4 linked regions of the Nothobranchius furzeri genome follow. The protein of the gene in region 1 interacts with the protein of each later gene in a pairwise test. Links are inferred from orthologs where the notes say so. Each region holds a gene or a part of one and is shown in the gene's direction. Other genes may lie near its edges.

The links. The genes of interacting proteins can lie anywhere in the genome.
Region 2: the proteins of nab2 (region 1) and tchp interact in binary tests that used the Homo sapiens proteins (3 or more experiments, as listed by UniProt). The two-hybrid records come from large-scale screens. The link is inferred for Nothobranchius furzeri from reciprocal best matches to the Homo sapiens genes NAB2 and TCHP.
Region 3: the proteins of nab2 (region 1) and zmynd19 interact in binary tests that used the Homo sapiens proteins (3 or more experiments, as listed by UniProt). The two-hybrid records come from large-scale screens. The link is inferred for Nothobranchius furzeri from reciprocal best matches to the Homo sapiens genes NAB2 and ZMYND19.
Region 4: the proteins of nab2 (region 1) and transcription elongation factor A N-terminal and central domain-containing protein interact in binary tests that used the Homo sapiens proteins (3 or more experiments, as listed by UniProt). The two-hybrid records come from large-scale screens. The link is inferred for Nothobranchius furzeri from reciprocal best matches to the Homo sapiens genes NAB2 and TCEANC.

The regions. Positions count from the first base shown.
Region 1 is NC_091743.1:50,555,446-50,559,625, reverse strand, and holds the start of nab2 (NGFI-A-binding protein 2), read left to right. Parts: upstream 1-1,380; 5' UTR 1,381-1,515; intron 1,516-1,680; 5' UTR 1,681-1,735; intron 1,736-1,900; 5' UTR 1,901-1,949; coding exon 1,950-2,861; intron 2,862-2,999; coding exon 3,000-3,133; intron 3,134-4,114; coding exon 4,115-4,166; intron 4,167-4,180. UniProt on the Homo sapiens protein: Acts as a transcriptional repressor for zinc finger transcription factors EGR1 and EGR2. Isoform 2 lacks repression ability.
Region 2 is NC_091757.1:45,563,357-45,567,482, forward strand, and holds the start of tchp (trichoplein keratin filament-binding protein), read left to right. Parts: upstream 1-1,326; 5' UTR 1,327-1,449; intron 1,450-1,506; exon of another isoform or gene 1,507-1,593; intron 1,594-1,732; 5' UTR 1,733-1,736; coding exon 1,737-1,933; intron 1,934-2,792; coding exon 2,793-3,003; intron 3,004-3,094; coding exon 3,095-3,151; intron 3,152-3,472; coding exon 3,473-3,541; intron 3,542-3,806; coding exon 3,807-3,980; intron 3,981-4,058; coding exon 4,059-4,126. Other genes in the region: gltpa (glycolipid transfer protein), read right to left, coding at 410-512. UniProt on the Homo sapiens protein: Tumor suppressor which has the ability to inhibit cell growth and be pro-apoptotic during cell stress. Inhibits cell growth in bladder and prostate cancer cells by a down-regulation of HSPB1 by inhibiting its phosphorylation.
Region 3 is NC_091746.1:54,510,030-54,514,009, reverse strand, and holds the start of zmynd19 (zinc finger MYND domain-containing protein 19), read left to right. Parts: upstream 1-1,180; 5' UTR 1,181-1,361; coding exon 1,362-1,412; intron 1,413-2,677; coding exon 2,678-2,737; intron 2,738-2,832; coding exon 2,833-2,939; intron 2,940-3,431; coding exon 3,432-3,572; intron 3,573-3,750; coding exon 3,751-3,931; intron 3,932-3,980. UniProt on the Homo sapiens protein: May be involved as a regulatory molecule in GPR24/MCH-R1 signaling.
Region 4 is NC_091754.1:47,120,131-47,123,070, reverse strand, and holds transcription elongation factor A N-terminal and central domain-containing protein, read left to right. Parts: upstream 1-1,131; 5' UTR 1,132-1,219; intron 1,220-1,284; 5' UTR 1,285-1,347; coding exon 1,348-2,262; 3' UTR 2,263-2,440; downstream 2,441-2,940.

The DNA.
Region 1 (4,180 bases):
TGCACAATTTCCTTGTAGACCGAATATCACTGACGCACACAACAATGGCTACTAAAAAGGGATAAAAACAGACAGAAGTTGCCTTGATTGGACTGATGCAGGATTTAGGAAACACGTCCTCCTCTTTTCTTTACTTAGAAAAAGTAAACTTCCAGACAGCAACGGAGTCCATGTCGCAGACATTTTTCAGAGATCGTCTCTGCTGCGGCTGCCCGGTGGCACCGGAAACTTTAAAAATGTTGCGGTAAGCTATATTTTTAACATTTACGTAATATCTGTACAGGGCTGAAAGCACCAGACAGAATAATTCTTTGCCCTAACAGTAGTTAATGAAAGTAGTCAAACAAATGAGAGGCACCTGGCTGCAGCTGGGAAAATGGTCCATGTCCTCACTACTCTGATTTTAGTTGATTTGGGTCTTGTTTCATATCACACAGTGACATTTGAATAATTAAAAGGCATTTTTTAAATTAAGAGCTTTAGTTTACAGTAATAACCATGTCTAATGTTTGATTCTCTGTCTCATAATTTTAATTACAAGTTTTGCTTTGAGGGCACATTTTTTTGAACGATTAAAATGTGATTAATTTAGATTAATTAATTACAAAGCCTCTAATTAATTAGATTAAATGTTTTAATCGAGTCCCGGCCCTAATATATATATATATATATATATATATATATATATATATATATATATATATATATATATATATATATATATATATATATATATATAATTAGTTATTACAGAAAGGGTTTATTAAAGTTAATGTATTATTTGGCTTAAAGAAGATGAATGTAAGGGTTTAGGTGAACATGAATGTGATTAAGCAAGGGTGCCCTCCCCCACCCACTTGACCAACCTTTGGGACCGCCACTGTTCACATTTATCATTGATTCATTTTTCCTGCCTTGCTGTTGATGATGATGCTGGTGCCACGAAATCGTTCAGAACATGATTCAAATCTGACATGTTTTCGGTTCTAACTATATAATATAATATATATCTGATTCAACAGTCGCGTTAACCTTTTTCTGACGTTTTTTCTTAGACTTTCTTTGTCTTGGAGAACAGAAACAGGTTCAAGCAAAAACCCGTGTTCACGTGTGGGCTCCTACATGCAAACCCACATTAGTTGATCGTTTTTAACCTAATGGTGACTTCAGGTCTGGGGGTCTTTGTGGTGGTGAAACTGGGAATCCCCCACAGCGTGTGCGTCAGGAGCCGTGAAGACGCACAGGGTTAATTTCAAGCCCCCACCACCGCCGCCCACATCCCCTATTTGAAAGCCGCCTCTCTACCGGGAGAGGAAGGCTCTTTTTCGGTCAGATGGCGTGCTGCAGCCCGCCCCCGTCATTCTCCAGCCCACACAGACAGCAAAAAGGCAGCCAGAGCCAGCAACCAATACGGTGCGCCGGAGGAGGATTTCTGCCAGTGATATCGGACCAAGCAGCGACGCGCTAAGGGGATTTACTACGGCGATCTGCGGCGTGGAGGCTGTCGGTGAAGAGGTAAGAGGAACGAATCGGATGTAGAGAAGGACGACGTGTCGCTGAGCAGGGAGTCCTCTCTGACATCTGGCTCAGGATTGGCTCAGTCTGACTGGAGCCAGTCACCCAAGCAGCTCACTGCTTCACATCAGAACCATAAGGGAAAATATTTGGCTTCTTTCACAGTTTTATTCCAGGGAATAAGACCAGACTGCTTTAAGTTTCAACTCATCTGAAAAAGGTAAGAAAGATTCAAGAGTACTTGGTGCACGTTTGTGTTTTGCATGAAAAATATCATGTTTTTAATCCTAGAATCATGCAAAAGTTTTTGTGCTTCAGCCTGATAGATGCATTTGAAAATGAGCTGTCTGGATATTTAACATCTCTGGACTTTTCCACTTTGCAGGTTCATGTGTTTCCTTTCTCCTGCCTGAACTTTTCCAGTGCCGTGTGCCATGTCTCTGCCACGCACACTTGGGGAGTTGCAACTCTACAGGGTGCTGCAGCGGGCCAACCTGCTGGCCTATTACGAAACCTTCATCCAGCAGGGCGGTGACGATGTGCAACAACTCTGTGAGGCTGCAGAGGAGGAGTTTCTGGAAATCATGGCACTAGTTGGCATGGCCACCAAGCCGCTGCACGTGCGTAGGCTGCAGAAGGCTCTCCGAGACTGGGCGGCGAACCCTGCCCTTTTCAGCCAGCCTGTCGCCAACGTTCCTCTCGGGGGGATCCCTCTGTTCAAAGTTGATGGGACGGGCACTAGTGGGTCAGCTGGCGGGCCCAGAAAGCCTGTGAGTAATGGGCAGCCTGGGTCGCCCTGTGAGAGGGAGGATCGGGCGTGCCTCACCCCAATGTACAGTGGGAGTCCAAGGAGCCCCTGCTCCCAGGCCTCTCCTCAACCGCCAGAAACACACTACAGGGAAAAACTGTCCCCCATGGACCCCCACTGGCTCAGCCCAGAGCCTGATGGTAATAGCAATGTAGCTTCTGCACCTGGAACAGAGGAGGAGGCGCCCAGCCCGCCACTACTGTCCACATGTCCTCCTGGTCCTTCAACATCTCCTGTCCCATCTGCATCATTCGCCCCTTCGGCTCTGTCAGCCTGGCCTGGAGGACAGCTGGACGGGGAGACGGCGAGGGCCGTGGTGGAGAGCGTGGAGCAGCTGTTTAGGACCCTGCCCCGGTCTGATCTCACAGAGGTGAAAACCCTGCTGAGGATGAACAAGAAGATGGCAAAAACTGTGGGGCACATCTTCAGAATGGGTTCCCAGGATGCAAACAAGGAAGAAGAGATCCGGAAATACAGTCTGATTTACGGGCGCTTTGACTCCAAACGGAGAGAAGGCAAGCAGCTCTCACACCACGAGGTAAAACCTAACAAGCACATCACCCGAGCTCACGGATCGCTAAAGTGACAACAAACCAGATTTTATCTTCACCTTGTGACCTTAAATGTTGATTTAAAGCCTCCATCACTCCTTCATTCGGTGTCTCCTCCTCCCCAGCTGATCATCAACGAAGCTGCAGCTCAGTTCTGCATGCGCGACAACGCTCTTCTCCTCAGACGGGTGGAGCTGTTTTCTCTGGCTCGACAGGTGGCCAGGAAATGTGCCTACACCTCCACACTGAAGAGCACAAGGTGAGTGAGGTAGGGGTGAGCGATGAGGATTTGACCCACACAAACACACCTGCTTCACACGAGTTTCAGATCGAAGCAAAGTGTTAGTTAGACGTTTTCAGTTGTTTTATTCAGATTTCTTCTGTTACAGCTCAGGTTTTATATAAAAAGTTAATCAGGTAAAAAAAGAGTACACCTCAATTCAATTCTAGAATTTTGGGGCAAGCATGGGGCAACGGTGGCACAGGAGTTAAGTGCTGGCTCCATAATTGGAAGGTTGCAGGTTCGAGCCCCGCTCTGTCGCTGTGTCTTTGGGCAAGACACTTAACCCACCGTGCCTGCTGGTGGTGTTCGGAGGGACCGGTGGCGCCTGTGTACGACAGACTCACCTCTGTCAGTGTGCCCCAGGGCAGCTGTGGCTACAATGTAGCTCATTACCACCAGAGTGTGAATGTGTGTGAATGGATACATGACTGTTTGTGTTGTAAAGTGCCTTGGGGGGTTCCAGGACCGTATAAAGCGCTTTATCAGATACAGGCCATTGACCTATTTATTTATTTTTAACCATATTTTGATTCCAAAAGTTGACGTTCTTTAGTTTAAAATCCCAGACATGGCCTAAGCACTATTGTTTGCTGTTCAGATTATTGGGATTATTATTATAATTTTTTGGTCAAATTATTAAAATCTAATCAGAAAAGTTAGAGAATAAAGTTATAAAAACACAAACATTATTTTGTTGCAATTAAATTTTGAATCAATAAATCTAGTTGAGGAGACACTGAATCATCAAACTTCAGTTTAATGAGCTAGAAACAGTATTTTTACATGTAAAATTCCAGGTAATTTTTTTTTTACCAGTAAGTGGCTATAACACTCCATCATACATCTCATTGTTTACATTAAAATTCAAAAATGGAACGGTAGTTCATACATTTTTGGGAATTTTGGCAGAATTCTTATTGCAATTAAAAGTTTTTATTTTTTTATTATCTTCTGCAGGCCGAATGCGGATGAGAACAGCAGTTTGTGTAATAAGAGACCAAGACATGAGGTAAGCATTTACAG
Region 2 (4,126 bases), on another chromosome or scaffold:
GAGAAATATGATCCAAATGAAGATAATCATTTGAATTGAGACACATTGTTTTAGTGACCTTTAAAGAACGATTGGGACAGATTTTGCTTCTTTGACAGTTTGTGCTGAATAATCAATGTTTGTCAATACTTGCACCAGTGGAAAAATTAGAACTATAATGTCCACGTAAAAGTATCATAACATGCAGCTACGGGCTTGATGTGACTTGTCGGTGACATAAATTCAGCTTATTATTTACTTATTACAACAATAATTTTGACTTGATAAATCTGTCATAACAAGCTCCACAAATATAGGAAAATGCTGCATCCTGCAGTGTGTGACATCTAAAAGGTTTGTTCACATAATTTCACAAGCACACATTTGTTATTGGTCACTGTCCAAAACTGAGAAGATAAGCTTTACTTACCTAAGAATGGTGGAAGGTAAGACACAGCCTCCAGAAAGGGTCTTGTTTCCACCTGTTTGTCAGCCGGCAGCTGCCTGAACTGGTGCTCCATCAGCAGAGCCATCTCTGTAGTCTGCACACGCTAAAAGCAAAAGGCTGCCAAAGCCTGTGCTGCAGATTCAGTGTGTCACCAAGACTAGGTGAATCAACACACACGCACTAACTCACACACTCAAGTTACCTACTTTCAACCCAGGTCATGGAAGGACATCCAGCTGCCGGCAGGCTCATGTGATCAATTAGTCTACATGGGACATTTATTCCTCTATCTATCTATCTATCTATCTATCTATCTATCTATCTATCTATCTATCTATCTATCTATCTATCTATCTATCTATCTATCTATCTATCTATCTATCTATCTATCTATCTATCTATCTATCTATCTATCTATCTATCTATCTATCTATCTATCTATCATCTATCTATCTATCTATCTATCTATCTATCTATCTATCTATCTATCTATCTATCTATCTATCTATCTATCTATCTATCTATCTATCTATCTATCTATCTATCATCATCATCATCTAACTGTCTGTCTGTCTGTCTCTGTCAGAATAATTATATATTAACGAAATTGATAATAATAATAATAATAATAATAATAATAATAATAATAATAATAATAATAATAATAATAATAATAATTGATAATTTCCACCTGACTGAATATAAGTGACTGAATTTATTTCTAACAACAATTTAAACTGGGAAGATTTTCCCACCATTTTTTGTGTTGAAACTCACAAAAATCACCTAATTATATCCGATTTATTTATTTGTTTGTTTGTTTTATCAGCGCGCGTAAGTTGAGGTTGTGACAAGAAACGAAATGAGAAAAATCTTTTCGCGTTTCTTGAAATGAACACTTTTGGCCTTCGCTTGATTCCGTAGCGTTGGAGGGGAGTAAACCGTCTTTGGTAACTAAGGAAATACCTGAGAGCGGTTGTTTGAATTTGAATTAAAAGCGAAGACGGTTTAAATTCTTAAAGGTAGGCTTTTGTGTCCAAATGATACGTGCTGATTTATTTGAACGGTTTCTCTGCTGAGAGGCTAAATGTGGTTTATGGAGACAAACGAATCTAGGAACCGCCATTGTTTTCGTCAGCTGAGTTAGCATCTACGTTAACACAAACGTTAGAAACAGCGTCTTGTGCTTGATATAGACTATTATATTATTATATAGGCTTTCCATAGACTAATCTCAAGTGATGCCAGGTGTAACTGTGTTTAACTGTTGAGTTGCTTTTTTTTATTTTGTTGCTTGTGATTCAGACTGATGGCTTTTCCCACACGCTCGGTCCATCTGTCCAGTAGGAATCGGTGCCGGGTGCTGGAAGAACAGAAGGTCCAGCGTCGTGAGAGGGAGGCTCAACAGCGCCACCAGTGGGAGCTTCATTCTCGGTACCTAAAGGAGCAGGAAGTCCGCTGTCAGCAGCAGGCGGCCTGGAGCTGCCAGAGGTGCTTCCAGCAAAGGCACGCGCGTCTTTTTCTTACTTTGGGAGGGTGTTGTTGCAGCAGAGACGACTGGGGCCAAATCTACCTCATCGTGATGTAGAAGAGATAGGGCATGGGGATTCTTCTGTGATGCCTTCAATGAGATTGTAAATAATAATGCTCCATTCCGTTAAATCCGTGTTGAAGGTCGAGATAGCCCATAGTTTACTCTGATGAGTGAAAGCGATGCTGCCTAGGCAAAAGCTTGGAAATCTAAACCGGGAAGGGACTGGCTGTCATTCAGACGACTGCAGAATCGTTTCAACTCCACTGTAAATAAAGTCTAATCTGATTTTTATCTGTCTAAAAACTCAAGTCATCATGAGTGATTTTAGAAGGAAATCAAATAAAAAAGGATTCTCACTTAATAACCAATAAATCAGCTGAGCACTTTGTTTAGTCCGGTTTTCTCTGAATCTAAATCCTCACCTACAAAAGCCTAGAAAACAGCAGCTTACCATTTCACCTTCCTCGTTAGCTCACCTTCTACCACTCAGTCATTCAGTTTGATCCCATTTGTTGTCTCGGAGGTCCATAGCATACTGAAAAGTTTAGATCCAAACAAATCCTGACAGACTTGATCCTTTTTGGAAGCAGACTTCATAGCAGAACCACTGAGTCATGTTTTTAATATTGCCCTATCTAGTAATGAATTTCCTAATATTTGGAAATCTGCTTTTGTTTCCCCTCTAGAAAAAAAGAGACATCTCTGTTGTCAATAATTTCAGACCAAATTCTAAAATGAAATGTCTTTTCTTGTATATTCACGGTTTGGATCAGCAGACAAAGATGGCAACAAAAGACAATTGAAGTATTTTTTTTCTCCACTCTTTATTAGCATGTCAGCCTACCATCATTTGGAAGAGGAGGAGCAAAGAAAAGCCTTCCTGTGGAGACACAGAGGGAAGCTCAGAACCATGCTTCAGGAGGAACGAGACCAGCTGGAGGCAGAGCTTCGACAGCTTGTCCCTGACAAAACCACACGAATGAATCAAATGGTGCAGAAAGCTGAAGAGCTTCATTCAGCAAGAGAGGAAACGAGAAAAAAAGTAGTTCCCATAAATATTTTTGTTATTGATGGTCAGTGTTTTGCCACGTATGATTCTGTTCTCGTAACTTCTCTGTTTTTGTGTCTTCTAGATTGCACAGGAGCTTCTGAGAGAGCACTGGAAGAGAAACAATGCAGAATTACGACAGGTAAGTGGGTTTGAACTATTCATGCAAAAGTGATTAAAGCCCCAAATCTGGGCTGCACCAATGTGATTAATGACTCTGGGTATCAGGTAAACGTCTAGTGTGTGTGTGAAGGACCTGATAATCCAGGAAAACAGAGACTTTTTGTTCAGATGTCCATTTGATCTGAAAACTTATAGCTCTAGTGAGGCACACGTTCCATTACTTTCAGTTAACCTGAGTCTAGCCTTTGCTTTAGAGAGTAAAACGCTCTGGTTTCCTTTCCTCTAGGGGTCAGGTTCATCAGCACCTCTGTCACAACTCAGTCTTTAACTCTGTCTGCAGGCTGAGTCGGCGTTACATAAAGATCATGTTGTCAGCCGGTGGCAGGAGCAGGTATCTGAGAAGAAACAGGTAGGATGATCACCCCGAGTGTTCAATTAAACATGTCAAATGATGTTTATGTCAGTGTTTAATCCGTCCAGCCAGCCATTAAAGCTGCCATTATCCTTTTACATCACCAATTATTTATGTAGCACATCTATTTTTAATCAAAGTGCTTATGCATTCTGTGAGCACAGGATCACATCTGAAATCTCAGGTTAATCCAACTCAACGCCGTGCATAGTTAAGAAAGTTTGACACTTGATGTGAGCAACCCGTCTCATCAAACATGCAGAAAGAAGTGACAGAACGAGAGGAGAAGAGGCGCTTTGAGAACGAGCACGAGAGGACTCGAAAAGAGGCGCAGGAGAGGATGAAGCAAGCGGAGGAGAGACAGAAAGAAGAGGAGCGTAGGAGAGCAGAGGCTCTTCGCCAACAGATGGAAGAACTGAAGATGAGGGAGGAAGAGGTTTTTGCAGCTTCAAAAATAACATCTCTGCTTGTCTAAATAAAGCTTTTCTTCCTAACGGTGTGTTGATGCCCTCAGACCTCCCGTCTAAAAAAGGAGCAACAGGTTCTGATGATGCAGCAGGTGGAGCTAGATAAAATAGAAGA
Region 3 (3,980 bases), on another chromosome or scaffold:
ACAACAGAACAATTTAACAATTTTGGTTGTGCTTCTGGCGATACTCTTCACCATCTATTTTATATCATTGGGAAGGAAATAGATGTAGGACACAATTTTCACGTTTAGCCTACACGTTAAACTCAGAATGACCTATGTTTTTCAAAAACAATAAGTCAAAAATGCTTTCTCTGTGAAGGACCTCTTTAAAGGTGACTAATCAGGATAAATGATTTATACAGATTCATGTATTTCCATGTACAATGAAATTCTTCGCTGCTTGCAATGGATGCCAAAAGTATATGTCAGAAAGGGTTATAGTTTTGGCACTTCTACAAGATCCATTTGTAAAGTTACCCCACTCTTATTTTGGTGGTCCAGTTTGTGACATCACTTCCTCTAGATAGTCCCACTCTATCACAGTATAATTTAGGTTTTTAAACAAATAAGATAAAAAAGAAGCAACAAATCAATCAAAACTATTAACTCTACCAAAGTTACAGCACCATTATTCATGTGCAAGTGAAATAAGTGTCCATAGAGGGAGTGGATGGGGTCTTTGAAGATGGAGGTGACTGTCCTGTTGACTCAGTGGTTATTGGTGGTGGTGATGCTGCTCCCGTACCAAACCTTATCACACAGAGATGCAACAGATCTAATTGACTCAATGATGCAGCTGTAGAAGATGCTGAGGATTCTGAGTGACAAACTTCCTCAGCCCCCTAGGAAGTACAGTAGCTGTGTGGAGCCTTCTTTAATGACTGTGTGGTGTTCAATGCACAGGTGAGGTCCTCACTGATGTGGACCCCCAGGTATTTAAAGTCAAGAAGCATTGTTACAAAAAAACAAATAATCAGCCAAACACAACCCATTTTGCTTTTATATGACAACATTTATAACAATGTTTATTCTTTATAAGTTCATGTTTAATTTTAAATGAAAGCTTTTAGAAAACGGAGATTCCTCCCCTTCAGTGGCACAGAGCCGCCAAAGATTTCGCGCGAAAATGATTGGAAGTGATCACGAGAGAGCATTGACGTCTAAGTTAAAATAGGCAGTCTTAAACGTTTGTGTAATTCTATTGGGCGCAAGGACAGGGCATCGCAGACTAAAACGTGTTTCGATTGGTTGGTTGGAATAGTGGCTCATTCCTTCGATAACCCCGCCTCTCACCACAGCTCGCCCAGCTTTCGTGCTCCAGCGGCCGTGTGTCACCGAGGCTGGGCTGCGGCCGGAGAGACCTGGAGGTAGGGCAGTCACTACACTGAACCCAGAAGTTGCATCGCATCGGGGCAGACGGGCTGCCCTGGCGAGTTCTACACCCCGAAAACCGCCAAGGTTGGATTCTACGCCTCGTTGTGTCAACACCACCCGTCCTCCTGATGTCGGATTTCAAGCTCGGGATTGTTCGGCTCGGCCGTGTGGCCGGGAAGGTGAGCTGGATCCCAGTGCTGCCATGTGCGGCCCGTGGGGAATGCGGAAACCTCAAGTAAATACACTGTTAACGGCAATTTATCGATGCCAGTCAGCTGCCGTAATGATAATGGTGCCGTTGAGGGCGCGGGAGTGGGCTAGTTGTACCGTTTCAGAGTCGTTTGAGCGGATTAGAAAAGCCGGCCGCGTCGAGCCAGAGCCAGTCTGCTCTTCTCTACTCCACCGCTATCACTGTCTTCCTTCAAGCTAACACTAGCTAGCATGTCCGTTAGCTGGTTTACTTCCAGTAACAAAACGTCTACCTGAAACGTGAACACAAACTATTTGTGCTTTTGTTGCTGCTGACACTGTCGTGGCTCGTGGCTGGTTGGGGGTGTGGTGTGACAAGGAGAACTGACATTTTATCTTGTAGCGGATAGGTTAGCATCACCAGATTAGCCGTTAGCCATGGCATCTGGATTAGACAGGAGCTGACAACTAATGAGGGAATCGGTGCCTTGCTTCATCAACGCTAGCCCGTGGTAACATAACACCGGCATAGCAATGCTGCGCTCCACACCTCGGGGCTAAAGTATTGTGATTTATTCCGTTCAAATAACGTAATTGCCTCAGATACACGTGACTTTAAATCGGGGCAGGATGCTGGTGTTGACACCCCTGGCTGCTGCTGCTGTCACTGCTGTCACAAGACACGCAGGATAAACTGCTGTCACCAGTCTTGCATCTCATCCGGCTGAGTGACAGTTTTCCTCTGGTTGAAACGTTTTTATATTTAGTTTTAAAACAGATAATTACGCCTTGTTTCATGCCGTTATTAAACCTCTGGTAGGTTGAAACAGGATAAAACTAGTCATTATTGTGGGTAAGTGTATTATAACTTTTACACACTTGGTCAGTTCAGGATTTGACCTGCAACAAAGGGATTGCAGGTCAAATACATATGCGTCTGAGTGGTGTCATCCTCTGTTTATCTTGCAAACATCAGGTGTGTTGCAAATTTTGAACTGGCACAGATCACTTGATTTAAATCTTTTATAGAGGATGAGCTTGAACCATCAACTGGTAGTGAGTGGAAGTTCTGAAAAGCCCTTTCTAAAAATTTCAACTTGTGGTTTTACTAATAGACGAGCTTAAAAATTGGGTATTTGCTGGCGGCATATTGGATAGTGTTTTTTCATTAAAATCCATTCAAAGTATGTTATGATCACAGCTGTAGATTTTATTGTGAAACTCAAATCATGTCTTCAATTTTTCTCCATTTCAGACAAAATACACTCTGATTGATGAGCAGGACATACCACTTGTGGAAAACTATGCCTTTGAGGTAAACTATCAGAATGTTTTGTACCCCGTTTCCCATTTTTATCGCTAACCACAGCCAAGAAGTTTAAAACGGCTACATTTTCCCTCTATTTTTAGGCACGCATGGAGGTAGATGCAGATGGCAATGGTGCTAAGATCTTTGCTTATGCTTTTGACATCGGAAAAGGCCGCTGGGCAGGAAGACCTCTGCATGAGCTACTCTGGTAAGTCTTTTGTTTTCTACAAAAACAAGATGTTCTCTGTGAGCAAAAATGAATAGTTAACATTATCTTCTATATTTAAGTCTTTATTCCTTGACTTGTAGTAGGAAAAGCCTTGAACCTGAACCAGATTGATAAGAACTTCTGAAAAGAGAAACTGATTCTGTGTACGCCAGGAAAAAATACATCATAAATGCTAAAAAAGCAAACATCAACATTTAAATGGATCCTATACAATGGAAAGTTTTAGCTTGAATCTCCCATACCTAATGAGGACAAATCAACCATCTATATTTCCTTTACAAGAATCTTAAAGGTCATTGGTGTTTAGGCTATTTTGCAGCAAATATTAAAACCATCCTTGTTATCCATTAAGTGCATCTGTAGACTTCAAAAACCAGAAATTTCCCCTGGAGGGTAGGGTTAGCTGTATGTTTAAATAAATCCTCAGTAACTCTGAATGAACCAGTTCTTGATTTCTTTGCTTTTAACCAGGGAGAAGCACAGGGGAGGCATTGCCCCTAGTTTTCAAGTGATTCACATCAACTCCGTAACCGTCGACAACCGGTTAGACAACCTTCGACTGGTGCCGGTGGGCTGGAGCCCCAAGCCGGAGGAGATTTCCAGCAAGCAAAGGTGAGACCACTTATGAATTCTGCTGAAAGGCATGGGGGCAAAAATACTAAACATTCCTGAGAGGACTTCGGTAGCTGACGTTGAGTCACTACCATGACTCACATGTTGAGAACCATACTGATTCTAGCAGTATGGTGGACAATAACTGATGTCTTCTGTGTTTTTGTTTTCCTCCTAGAGAGCAGTCTCTGTACTGGCTGGCCATCCAGCAGGTCCCAGCCGACCCGGTGGAGGAGCAGTACCTAGAGCTAAGCCGCACGCGCTACTACAATGCTAACGGGGAGCTAGTGGAGGAAGAGGAGTGCTCCTGCACTTATTACGAGTGTCATTACCCCCCTTGTTCACTAATTGAGAGGAGGGTGTGTACTGAAAGTTCCGATGTTGATTAAAAAAAAACTTTACTCATTC
Region 4 (2,940 bases), on another chromosome or scaffold:
GGCTGGGGCCGACCGGTGCTACCCGGCCCGGGCCGACCCGGTACAGATGGGAATGGCCCATAAGACAAGTTAGCTACAGCTAATTAACAGTTAGCATGAAGCTAGCATTCATTGAGGCGGTTGTTTAGTGTTCCAGCCAGTTTGAAGGCAGTCTCTGAGAAGAAGTTAAAGACAGGTTACTGAAAGGCCTCAAATCAGAGAAATTAGTTTCATTCTACCGGACTGACAATTGCTAACAGCTAGTGCAAGGGAAGTGGTTCATGCAGCATCATTTCATGAATACAGTTTAATGCTCACTTGGAAAACTTCACGTGCAAAATGTGGCACTTCTGGCGAATCTAAGAGTCAAGTTCAATTGGAATATCGTAACATTCCCAAAGTTATTCCAGTTTTATGGAATGTTAAACATTTCACCAAACTGAGCCTTTTCAGAAAGCTATCTACTGTTAGTACAAACATTATTAATCACAACTTTGTTTATAGAGACACTGTTAAAAACGCAGAGTTTGCTACACAATCCCAATGTAGGAGCAACATCAGTTGTGCTCTCTTATCCAGTGAGCCCATGTCTCTCTGGGCGATGCAGCAGCTTTTCTAAAGCGGCTCACTCTGAGGATAACAACTAGCTGCCCCTTCTGCAGTTTGACGTACAACAAAATCTCTGGTCTTAACTTTAAAACCACAAACATGCCTTCATAACCTATGATTGCTCCGGAGCTGAGGAGCCTGCCCCGTCTTGTTACCAGATACCCTCCTGGATTCTTGTCTGGAGGCTGCTTGGCCTGTTTCTGCATGCAGAGTCCAAACATGCTGCATTCACCTAGAAATGATGAAGTTGGTCTCAATCCCAAGGATTAGTGTGTTTTAATCATTAAATATGTGTTTACACCTTCAGGAATTGTAGTCTAAAGAAAGGGTTTGTGCTTGCTGTGGGAATAAACGCCCCTAGAAGCCAAATGCACACGTCTGAATCCTTTTACAAAAGCTATAATCCTGCAGCACATCTACTGTGGTGAACTTACAAATCAAACATTACAAACTTTATTCCCCATAAATGCAGAAAGACTTTCAGCTGAACCTTCAGAGTGAGTGAGTCAGCAGCTCCATCTAGTGGTGCATGTAGTTAGTTTCATAGATGAAAGACAAAAACAATATGGCTGCTCCCTTGTTTGAGGTTCTCAGTTAGCAGGAAGAAGCTGAAACTCATGAAGAAGCTCAGGTAAATCAGTCTAAACCCATTTATTCTGTATTTAAGCGTGTTGCTGACATCTCTATCTACGTTAGGACATCAAACATAACAGACATGCATCCTGCCAAGGTCTAAAATAGATAACATTCTCTGCAGCCATGATGGACACAAAGGAAATCGTCCACCTTGCTGTCCAGATGGAGAAGCTGGCTGCAGACCGAAGCTTCGTGGACATCCAGACCCTCCTTGGTGACCTGGATAAGTCTCACATCACAGCAGAGCAGCTGGAAACAACAGAACTGGTCAAAGTCCTCTATGGAATCTTGAAGACCTGCTCAGACACCAATGTGAGGAAGGGGGTTAAGAGCTTGTTGTCCAGGTGGAGGAAACAGTACAGCTGTGAGAGGACAGGAGGGACACACTCAGATGAGAGAAAAGATCCTGCAGGTTCTTCAGCCCAAGTGGATGGAGATGGTGGAGTACGTGCTCCAGAACAGCAGGCAGACCGTCCCCTCCAGGGTACTTCTGCTTTGTCGGACTCTGTGAGGACCAAATGCGTTCACCTTCTCTTAGCTGCCCTCCATCCTGAACCTCCTGATCAGATCAAGGCGGAGCAGCTGGCTGAAGACATTGAAAAGCACATCCATGACCTCCACAAAACCAGCAGACTCAAATACAAAACCTGTGTGAGGAGCAAAGTCGCAAACCTGAGGAATCCCAAAAGTCCTCACCTGTGCCAGGGCCTACTGAGTGGCTCTCTGCTGCCGCAGGACTTTGCCAAGATGTCTGTGGAGGACATGGCCAGTCCAGAGCTCCGGCAGCTGAGAGAGGAGTTTTCATCACAAGGTGTGAGTGAGAGACAGCTTCCTCAAGGGGTGGAGGGGACGCCGACGCAGAAGATCCACTGCAAACGGTGTGGAGGATCAGACTGTAGGGTGACACAGGTGTCCAGGGGTGCTCTGTTTCTACCTGCATGGGTGAGGCAGGGAGGCATTGACCAGGACGCTATGACATTTGTGACCTGTAGGGGGTGTGGTCAGCAGTGGTACCACAGTGGCTGGGTTTGCTTCTAAATCAGGTGATGGTGGCAGAGGAGTTAATTTTTCATCCCCAAAACCAGAGGGTTGCAGATTTGCATCCCCGTTATTCTGACGCAGTCGTTGTGACAAGACACTTCATCCTCCTTACCTACTGGTTGTGGTGAGAGGGACTGGTAATGCCAGTGTGTCCCAGGGCAGCTCCATCCTTCCATCCTCCATAAACAAGACCCTTAAACCTCTAGAGTAGGGATTCCCAAAGTGTGGTGCGCGCACCCCCGGGGGTGCTAGGGGGTGCGCGAGGTGAAAAGTGTAATGGCTGCAGAGCTCAGAGAAGTCTGTCATATGTCACCATACATATATATATATATATATATATATATATATATATATATATATATATATATATATATAGCCATGCCCTGATGTGGGGGCTGGGGGGGTGCGTCGACATGGTCGGGACATAGAAGGGGGTGCGCGGCTAAATAAGTTTGGGAACCACTGCTCTAGAGGAACAGATGGTCCCAGCCTCACGAAGAACTTTCAACCTTTATTCTAAATACCAAACCGGCTTTTAAACAGTTTTATTTGTTTTCTGGATTAAATAAATGTGTAAGTCAAGTATTTAGTTTAGCTTCCCTTAAAGAGGGACTGCACACCATCAGAAAATGTAACTCCACCCTTAGTCAAGATTTGAAACATGCCATGAAAGTG